3 linked regions of the Rattus norvegicus genome follow. The protein of the gene in region 1 binds, or shares a complex with, the protein of each later gene. Links are inferred from orthologs where the notes say so. Each region holds a gene or a part of one and is shown on either strand. Other genes may lie near its edges.

Region 1 (3,500 bases):
CACACACACACACACACACAGTGAGTTTGGGGCCAGCTTGGTTTTTATGAGACCTTGCTTAAAAAAAAAAACAAAACAAAAAAACAGAACAAAACAATAAACAGAGTTCACACAGACACTTGGCTAAAAAAATTAAACTCTTGCAGAGCACTTCAAATTTAACACATGGGGGTTGGGGATTTAGCTCAGTGGTAGAGCGCTTGCCTAGCAAGTGCAAGGCCCTGGGTTCGGTCCCCAGCTCCGAAAAAAAGAAAAAAAAATTTTTTTTAACACAGACAGCGAAGGATTTCCCACTTACTCCTCTTTCAGGGAGGCAGGGAGGAGCGAGTGGCATGCTAGGGCCTGAACCCAGGACCTCATACACATAACACACAAAATCCTCTACTGCTGAGTCACACCACTGGCTCTGGTCATTCTATTTGGGGAATGAAAATTAAACTCAAGAGCAACAAAAGAGTTCAGGTAAATAAAAACGTTATTTTATCTTTCCTTTTTTGACAAAATTCTAAAACAAATAACTTTTGTCTAATACCTACCTGAGCCATCAGTAGGAACTGAACTTGCATTGATCCCGGAAAGACCAAACAAGGGGCACTCTCGATCTGTGTTCACATGGCCCCACTTGTGACATTTAATACACCTTACATTTCGAACCTGAAAAATTATAATAAACATTGTTTTGATTCTCATCTCACTTAGATCCCCCACCCTGCTTTTTTCTTTTTCGCTCTGAAGACAGGTTTTATTATGCAGCCCTAACTGGTCTAGAACTTGCTTTGTGCATCAGGTTGGCCTTGAACTCACAGAGATCCATCCACTTACACTTCTAGATCATTGGGATTAAAACATGTACCACCACATCTGGCTAAATTACTTTTAAAAAAGATCTCCAGGGAAAGCAATTCTATAATTATAGTAGGTAATTCAATGTAAATACTAAAATCTTGTTATAAAATGTCATCTAAAAAAGAAATGGTAAAATATCACAAAGAGTCATGGCATGGTTTAATGTTATGTTCCCTAATCTTAATACCCTCATTTAAATCTTCCTCCTCCCTCGTTACACAGGATAGCCCAGGTTACGCTTTCCATCTTCTTGCCTTGCCTCTACCTTTCACACACTGGAAAAACAAGTCATGCCACCTACCCAGCTACTCTTTCCTTCTCCTTTCTTTTCTGTCCTGCTCCAGCCCCTCATAACACACAAAGTGAGTGTTTTTTCACTGAGCTATTATTTCAAGCCCTGACGTTTCACATTTCTAAGCCAGTGGTGAGCAAATCTACTCTGTAAGTAACAACGCTGTGTTAAGCTGTGTCTGTTTGCAGCCACTCCGCTCTGCTGCTGTGACAGACGCAGCAGGGAAGCTGCTACAGACATCGCACATGACTGAGCAAGGTTTCTCACGGGATCAGCCTGGAGTGACAGGTGACTGTTTCTGAATCAGTAATCCTTTTCTTAAAGAAAATTATTGGTTATTTTATTTACTTACATTTCAAATGTTATCCCCAGTAATGTTTATATTGACATCTTTTCTCGACCTTGAGTCAGTTCTCTATGACTTGAAAGCCGGAGTGACCGCATCATTACCCCTTCACTAGCTTGATCCTCGTCTTCCATGTGCCTAGCACGGTCATGTTTTCTCCTCAGTCCGATCATTTGACATAATATAAACCACAAAGTCCTTTTTGAGCTTAAACACTATGATGCTAATCTTGGCTGGCAACCTCCCTACATATGGAATCAACTCAAACTGTTCTACACTCCAGTGAGGGATATTCTTGATCGGATTATTAAACCTGGGCCACACAGGAAGAATTCAGAGACGGAAGCTTTGAGTTTTGCTTGTTTGCACTCTTTCTCTCACTAGCAAGTTCAAGTTGCTCTATCCTGTTGCTGCTCATATTAAATCCAACTTCTTCAAGATTCCAATGCAGACTAAAAAGACCAGCAGCTCCCTAAGAATCCTCCAGGACTGCAGACATTCAACCTCATGGACCAAACAGCTGACTACCTGAACACATCCTCTAAGGGAGCATCATAAATTCCTCTCCTGTGTGTGTGTGTGTGTGTGTGTATTTCTCATCCTATCAGTTTTGTTCTTTAGAGAACTCTAATACAAACATTTTGGGGAAAATAATGTAAAGATACATGTGCTAAATAAAATTATTCTTAAAGAGTAAATGTGCCACTTGCCTGAATACCAAAGGGCTGATCTCTGATGTTCATGTCATCTTTAGCATATCTGTTAAGTACAAAACAAACATATGACTAAGAACAACGTAACAAATTCAATCAGCTAACCCAAAAAAGGTTAGTTTTTAAACATTATAAAGTGTATTATTACTATAAAATAAAAAACCAGCATCAATTTTTAAGTCTGATAATGTAGTTTTAAAGAACGAGCAAGCACATAAATCCAGGCTTGGATGAAGCACACTGTTTGCATGAGGTAAGTCATTAAAACACCCTTTCAAATTAGTCACTTGCTCTGGTGAGTGAACCTTAACAAGCAGGAGGCAAGGAGGACTGGAGACAGCCATATGCATTCCCCATAAGAACCAGTCTTACTTTTCCCTTGGAGCACCTTTCTGCCATTCGAACTTGTATTCTGTCTCTCCTTCCGTTTCTTCTTTCTACCACAGTCAGTAAAAAAAAAAAAATCTGTCAACTGTCCATAAAATCACAATCAACTATAAATCAATTCAAACAGAGAAAAGTACTTTACCTCTTTGTTTTCTTGATTGCAGATTCAAAGCACAGGGGGAAAGCAGGACAAGTTAGAAATGTCAGCAGAAAAGTCTACCTTACCACTGAAGGATACAATACAACATTGAAGTATCGTTCAGAATAGTCATGTTAACTCCTAATTTTTAAGCTTTTATGTTTTCACTGGCAGTGATAGACTTTGCATTTGAAAATGTATTTTAATAAGGACTACAGATATGTTTGCACTGTGAAAGGGCTGAACGTTTATCTGCCAGTACTGAGCATTCCCCCAAAGGACATAAGCTACTACATTGGAAACTCTTTATTTTACTTTGCTTGTGACAAGATTGTCAGAGCAACAGCCATGGAAAAATACAAATACCCTCTAAAAATACTGTCTCGGGCTGGAGAGATGGCTCAGTGGTTAGAGCACTGACTGCTCTTCCAGAGGTCCCGAGTTCAAATCCCAGCACCCACAGAGTGGCTCGTAACCACCTGTAATGGGATTAGATCCCCTCTTCTGCATATCTGAAGAGAGTGATAACGTACTCGCATTCATAAAATATACAAATAAATTAATTAAAAAAAATACTGTCTCCTCTTCCAAATCTTTACAGGCAATTACATCAAAGTGCAAAGGAAAGATACCTTTTTTAACTCCTGGCGGGGCTTCATACATGAAATTCAGGCCGTTCTTTACACGCTCATCTCCCATAAGCAATCTGAATGAAATAACGATAAACGGTTCAGTCAAGGAAGAAGATGACCACACACTATCTCAAAAGGAACCCTG
Region 2 (3,147 bases), on another chromosome or scaffold:
TAAATAGTTCCTGTCAAGTCCACTTGTAACACATTCAAGACAAGATATGAACCCCCAACTTGTTCTGGGGTAGCGGCAGACACTGTGTGGGGCTAATGATGGTCACACCAGATCATGATGTGAGATTTAAATTCCTCATTCATCTGCCGCTTTCTCTCTAGGCCACCTTCCTAACATAGCAGGACTTCATTCAGAATTTGGACTTTTAAACCAGAAGACTAGGGTAGATCTTAAAAAGCCCCAAGTAATGTACTAATTATATCTACAAGCATCTTTTATTGAAGGACTGAAGAATTAAAAAGAAGGCACAGAAGCCCTGAAAAGCCGTTTCACAGCACAATAGCCTTTTTGGCTGGGCCTGGTGGCACACACCTGGAATCTCAGCACTCGGAAGGTGGAGACAGGAGACCAAGAGTTCAGAGTCATCCTTGGCTACAAAGCCTGAGGTCAACCTGGGCTAATTGAAACCACACATCAAAAAAGAACTCAAAACAGAAACAAAACAATAAGCTTTTTGTATTTATGTCTAGAACCCACATTTCCTTTTTGATGTTAAAATGTCCACTTGCAAAGTCAGAGAGCCCTCACTTGTCATCCTTCCCTTTGGTCTTTCTGTACACCATCTCGCGAAAGCTGGCCAGAATCTTGTTCTCCCTCTTCCGTCTTTCTTCTTGGTTAAAGGAGGCAAGGGCTCTCTTCTCATCGGCACTGTAGATCTGGTTCTCTTTCCGAAGTCGGACAGCCTCCATTCGGCGATGCCTGGAGACAAATTTTATTTTTTACTTCATTTCATACTAATGATTCTTATAGTATGTTGTCATTAATCCTTTGTTAATATAGAATCTTCTATTTACAAGATGATAATAGACACTGGATATGGGTTGTTAAATGAATGTGTATTTTACCTGTTGATGTTTCCTTTTCCTTTGACTTATTTCCAGTATTCAAATAATAATCTCCAATGTTTTGTCAACATAGGTGATACCATTAATTTCAAACACTAAATACAAATTATTTTTGTTATTTTGAATAAACCAAAATGGGAAACTTATTAAATATTTTAGGTGATTCTTTTAAAACAGGGTTTCATTAAGTAGCTCTGGCTAGCATGAAGTGCTGTATGCAAACCAGGCTGGTTTCGAACTCACACAGATCCATCTGTTCTGCCTCCTGAGCACTGAAATTATTGGCCACCATGCCCAGCCAGTAATAGTGGGTTTTTTGTTTGTTTGTTTGTTTGTTTGTTTGTCTTTGTGGAGTCCAGAGCAGGACAGATGAAAGATTTCTCTTAATTAATCAAGTGGCACATTAAGGTTCAACTTTATTGATACAAAGAGGAGAATCAAGTCTAAACTTATAAGTGAAGAGGCATTCTGTGGATAGTTTAATTTCCTTAGAATCCAGAAGCATCACAAAGAAAACAGAAGGGGAATTCAGTCTAAGAGTTAGATCAGTAAAATACAGAGACAGAGGAAATTAGACTCAGAAGGTCTGCTAGGCAGAGAGCAGTATTAATGACCCCGTTTGTGTATACATACCCAAGCCTACATAATCAGTTCAAGGAACGCATCTCTAAGAAAAACCATGAAAGACTGGGTAAAGAGGAGAGAATCATTTCAGGTTAGCATGGAGGTGTCTAGGGATAACATGGGAGAGCTAAGGAGATGGCAACAGATTTTGGCTATTTGAGTACTGCGGGTTCTCTGTTTATTATAAGGAACAGGAAGCAACACACAGTGATGCTATAACAAGCACTCGCATAAATGCCTCTAGTCCATAGGTACCATAGTGTGGTGCTGCTTGCTCATAATGCATATGAGAGCCTGACTTTCTAAGATAATGTCACATTGATTTTTCAGTGTACTAAAGGATAGACTACCAGAAGTGTTTAAGAGGTCCTGTGGCACCACAGCTTTTCAAGTATTTGGCATTGTCGGAACTTTGAACCTTTTCCCATTAAATGTATGCAAAACAGTATTGCACTCAGGTCTTGACTTCCATTTCCGGTAACAATAAATATCATTTATGTATAGGACATATGTATTCTTTTCATAAATGGCCATGTCATTTCCCCGTATTTTTATAGGTATTTAAATATTCTCTCTACCAATACTTTATCAATTATGTGTATTCCATGAATCTTATACAAACCCAGAGTTTTCACATTTTAATATGTCTTTTGACAGACATAAGTTCTTATGTTTAGCTTAGGTAAACTTTGGGGCAGCACATTTTTTTGTTTTGTTTAGAAAACAATTTTTTTTCTCTGAAAGTACTTAATCTAGTGACACTGCCTTTTATATAAGGTGATTCAGTATTCTACATTCTTTTAAAACATGATGTTTTTGCTATACCATTCTCTGAATACTTGTTTCTGCACAGATCGGACATGCTATCTTTCACATACCAAAATTCCACACATGTACAACTGGCTTTGGGTTCTGCATTTTATCCCACTGAATATTTAGGCTAATCCAAATGCTTCCTAAATCCTGCAAGCTCCTTAAATCTTACATAGGTCTCATCTTATTTTTCTACTGTTTTTCAGAACTAACATGGCTACTCTTGGCCTTTTAGTCTAACAAATACTTTTAGAACCACTTAACTAAGTTTCATAAACTGCCATGATTTTGATTGAAATTTTATTGACTATAAATCTGAGAGAGGGGTTGGGGATTTAGCTCAGTGGTAGAGCGCTTGCTTAGGAAGCGCAAGGCCCTGGGTTCAGTCCCCAGCTCCGAAAAAAAAAATCTGAGAGAACTGACTTCACAATATTGCTATTCTAACTTTGAACATGCTATGTCTCCATTGATAGAGATCTTCTTTAATGTTTATTTCTATTATTACTAGTATTTGTTTTGTTTTGTTTTGTTTTTTTAAAGACAGAGTTTCTCTGGGTAGCCTTGGGTGTCCTGGAACTTACTCTGCCTTCGAACTCAGAGATCCACCTACCTTTGCCTCCTGAGTGCCAGGATTAAAGATATGCACCAATATACCCAGATAAGTTTTTATTTGATTTTTTTTATTTTATGTGTATGTGTGTTTTGCCTGAATGTATTTCTGTACCTCACATATGTGTAGTACCTGAAGAAGCCAGAAGAGGGCTTCAGATTCCCTGGGAATAGAGTTACAGGCATGTGGGTGCTG
Region 3 (2,832 bases), on another chromosome or scaffold:
GGGTGTCTTTGGAAAGAGAGAGGCACAAAAACAACTTTTTTTTCCATAGGTCCTCAAGGAATAACAACGCATAAAGGGAAATTTAAAAGTGATTGAAAAGTAATGAAAGACTGATTTTCACATTTGCTAACATACATTGTAAAGCACTTTAAAAAACAAAATGCTAGTCAGGCAGTTGGCGGTGCCTGCCTCTAATCCTAGCACTCAGGAGGCAGACACAGGCAGATCTCTGAGTGGGAGAAAATCTGCTGTACAGAGTGAGTCCCAGGGCATCCAGGGTTACACAGAGAAACAAACAAAAACAAAACAAGAATGCTTAATTACAAATCAAATTGGCCTAGGGAAGGCAACTGGGTCATGTCTGTCATTCCTCCTTTACCTTTAATTACTTGGAATTTTAAAGAAAGGCTTACAAAATAAGATCCTTTCCCTGACATCTTAATGCCAGCCCCAGAAAGCTTCAAACAAAAACAAAGTTTCATAAAATAAACAGGCTGAAGTAGCTGTAATAGTAATAACCTTTATTTAAAATATGTTTAATCTAGGAAGCTCAGTTTATATGAGTTTCCAACTAATTATCAGGATCAAAAACGACAGCAACAAAAACAAAAAGCCAAAGAAAATCCTCTGTAGAAAAAATACACAAGAACGTTTCTACATCGGAAGAACAGTAAACACTCTTGACAGCAGACGTCTACGTGCGGGCATCTCTCCTAGTGGACACCACTGTCCGCCTTGAGATCTGATTTGTTCTTGTCGTTCCTCACTGAGTAGATGAAACATGTTAAGGTGTCTTTTTCATTCACTGGAATAGACTTAAAGTGGCAACCAACTATCTATAAATTAAAAAACAGACAAATTAAGTTAGATAGAGCAGACACTGGGAGCCGAGTAGAAGACACTACTTTGCCAACGAGTTATGTGACCACATGACACTTTTAAAGATTAAGCTGTCTTAACAGAGTATCAACACGCTCCAAAGCACACACAAACAAGATATTATAAACAAAAGAATCTGATTTCAAAGAACTCAATATGCTCTGACTCTGTGTATTTTACTCCCTTTGGTCAACTTGATTAATGTGCACCTGTTATAAGTATTTTCTCTTTAAACTTTACAACTTTAGATTGCAAACTACATATTCTTTTTTTCAAGAAGATTTATTTTTTTGTTTGTTTATTTATATGAGTACACTGTAGCTGTTTTCAGACACACCAGAAGAAGGCATCAGATCTCATTACAGATGGTTGTGAGCCACCATGGGGTTGCTGGGAATTGAACTCAGGACCTCTGAAAGAGCAATCGGTGCTCTTAACCACTGAGCCATCTCTCCAGCCCAAGCTACATATTCGTAAACATTAAATATCAATGAAATAAAACAGAAGAACTGATGTCCATCACATGAAGACATTTAGACATTTAGAGTGTAGTCACAGGAAAAGATTAATAAAAAGAAAAAAAAACCTTGGTAATAAACCATACCATAAATATCATTGGTGCAATTGATATTAATTCTTCTTAAGTTTCTTGCAAATTTTTCTGAATAAAATTTAAGAATGGAAAATTAAAGGAGCTGGAGGGATATTCAACAGGACTGTTTCCCTGACTTTTACTGCACAAATCTAACATGTACGCCACAATTACCAACAGCTGAGAAACCACGCAGCTGATATTCGTAGACTGAAGACTGCCTGCTTTTCTAGAATCGGAATCTGAACTAATAAAACTGTCTTTCAAGACTAGATTTCAAGGGCTTTGAGTTTGAGTTCTATATTTAAATATAACTTTGCATCAGATCCTGGCTATTTGTTATAGAACGGGGTGACTGTACTAGATTAGTGACTAGTATATTTTATTACAGTAAGGAATGTCTTCACATTTATGTACTATGCAGCCGAAAAAGGACGAGAACTTTTAAATAAATTTAAAGAAAAAAATATTTTTGTTGCCTAGGCAAGAAATATAGGAGATTTGGCTTGTTAGCATACTGAATTTTAATGTTAAAGAGCTTTTCTACAAAAAAATGTAACTCATTTATCTTTTACTTCTGCACATTAGAAATGCAGGCTAAGTATTAAAGTCCAGCTGAAGAATACAGGCACACTCTTACATAAATATGTATGTGTTGATTCACACATACAGACTTCTGATGTGTCTATTCCATGGAAACGTTTGCTTTGAATAAAAAGTATAATTACTTAAATCTGTTATTTTAACCGTTCACAGATCTTGTGGCTTTATTACTTCTTCAACACACACACACACACTCACTCTCTATTAGCTTCTGAAATACACCAAAGGAACTAAGTCCCATATAAAACAAACTTTATGTTAAAGCTTTATTTTTGTTCTTTCTCTTGATGTAAAGAAAGTATCCTCTACTTAAAACTCCTAACAAAGGCAAATGTATCTGAAAGTAAAGCTAGAAAGTAATAAAACCCTGCAGACTTGTTCCACAGAATCTCTGAAAACTAAATTCTAATAAATACTTATAAGCTATTTATTTTCCATCCTGCAATGGAAATATTCCATTTCAATTCCACTCCATATTTATATTCCCTCAATAAATATTCATTGAATAATTAGAAATTTAAAACAGAATTCTAGAACGATGATAAAAATTTCTTATTGAATATTTACTCTAAAAATCACTATTAAAAGACGCTGTACATACTCTGAATATAATCCACTGAGTACTCACTGAAGAGATTTTTCTCAGTGGCAGACAGATGTTTCTAAAGATCTCTACTCTTCCACGATAGGCCTATTAACTTTGACTTTACTGCATGTAATGTACTATTCAGTATACTGCATTTCTCTATTTCATCATC

What was found. The genes of interacting proteins can lie anywhere in the genome.
Region 2: Cir1 (region 1) and Nkap share a complex: the UniProt entries of both Homo sapiens proteins name them as parts of the notch corepressor complex. The link is inferred for Rattus norvegicus from reciprocal best matches to the Homo sapiens genes CIRSR and NKAP.
Region 3: Cir1 (region 1) and Sap30 share a complex: the UniProt entries of both Homo sapiens proteins name them as parts of the histone deacetylase complex. The link is inferred for Rattus norvegicus from reciprocal best matches to the Homo sapiens genes CIRSR and SAP30.

What each region holds. Positions count from the first base shown.
Region 1 is NC_086021.1:78,586,310-78,589,809, forward strand, and holds part of Cir1 (corepressor interacting with RBPJ 1), read right to left. Parts: intron 3,430-3,500; coding exon 3,356-3,429; intron 2,763-3,355; exon of another isoform or gene 2,738-2,762; coding exon 2,727-2,737; intron 2,635-2,726; coding exon 2,570-2,634; intron 2,244-2,569; coding exon 2,195-2,243; intron 655-2,194; coding exon 537-654; intron 1-536. UniProt on the Homo sapiens protein: May modulate splice site selection during alternative splicing of pre-mRNAs. Regulates transcription and acts as corepressor for RBPJ. Recruits RBPJ to the Sin3-histone deacetylase complex (HDAC). Required for RBPJ-mediated repression of transcription.
Region 2 is NC_086039.1:121,255,714-121,258,860, reverse strand, and holds the end of Nkap (NF-kappa-B-activating protein), read right to left. Parts: intron 760-3,147; coding exon 585-759; 3' UTR 501-584; downstream 1-500. UniProt on the Homo sapiens protein: Acts as a transcriptional repressor. Plays a role as a transcriptional corepressor of the Notch-mediated signaling required for T-cell development. Also involved in the TNF and IL-1 induced NF-kappa-B activation.
Region 3 is NC_086034.1:37,761,494-37,764,325, reverse strand, and holds the end of Sap30 (histone deacetylase complex subunit SAP30), read right to left. Parts: intron 837-2,832; coding exon 714-836; 3' UTR 501-713; downstream 1-500. UniProt on the Homo sapiens protein: Involved in the functional recruitment of the Sin3-histone deacetylase complex (HDAC) to a specific subset of N-CoR corepressor complexes. Capable of transcription repression by N-CoR.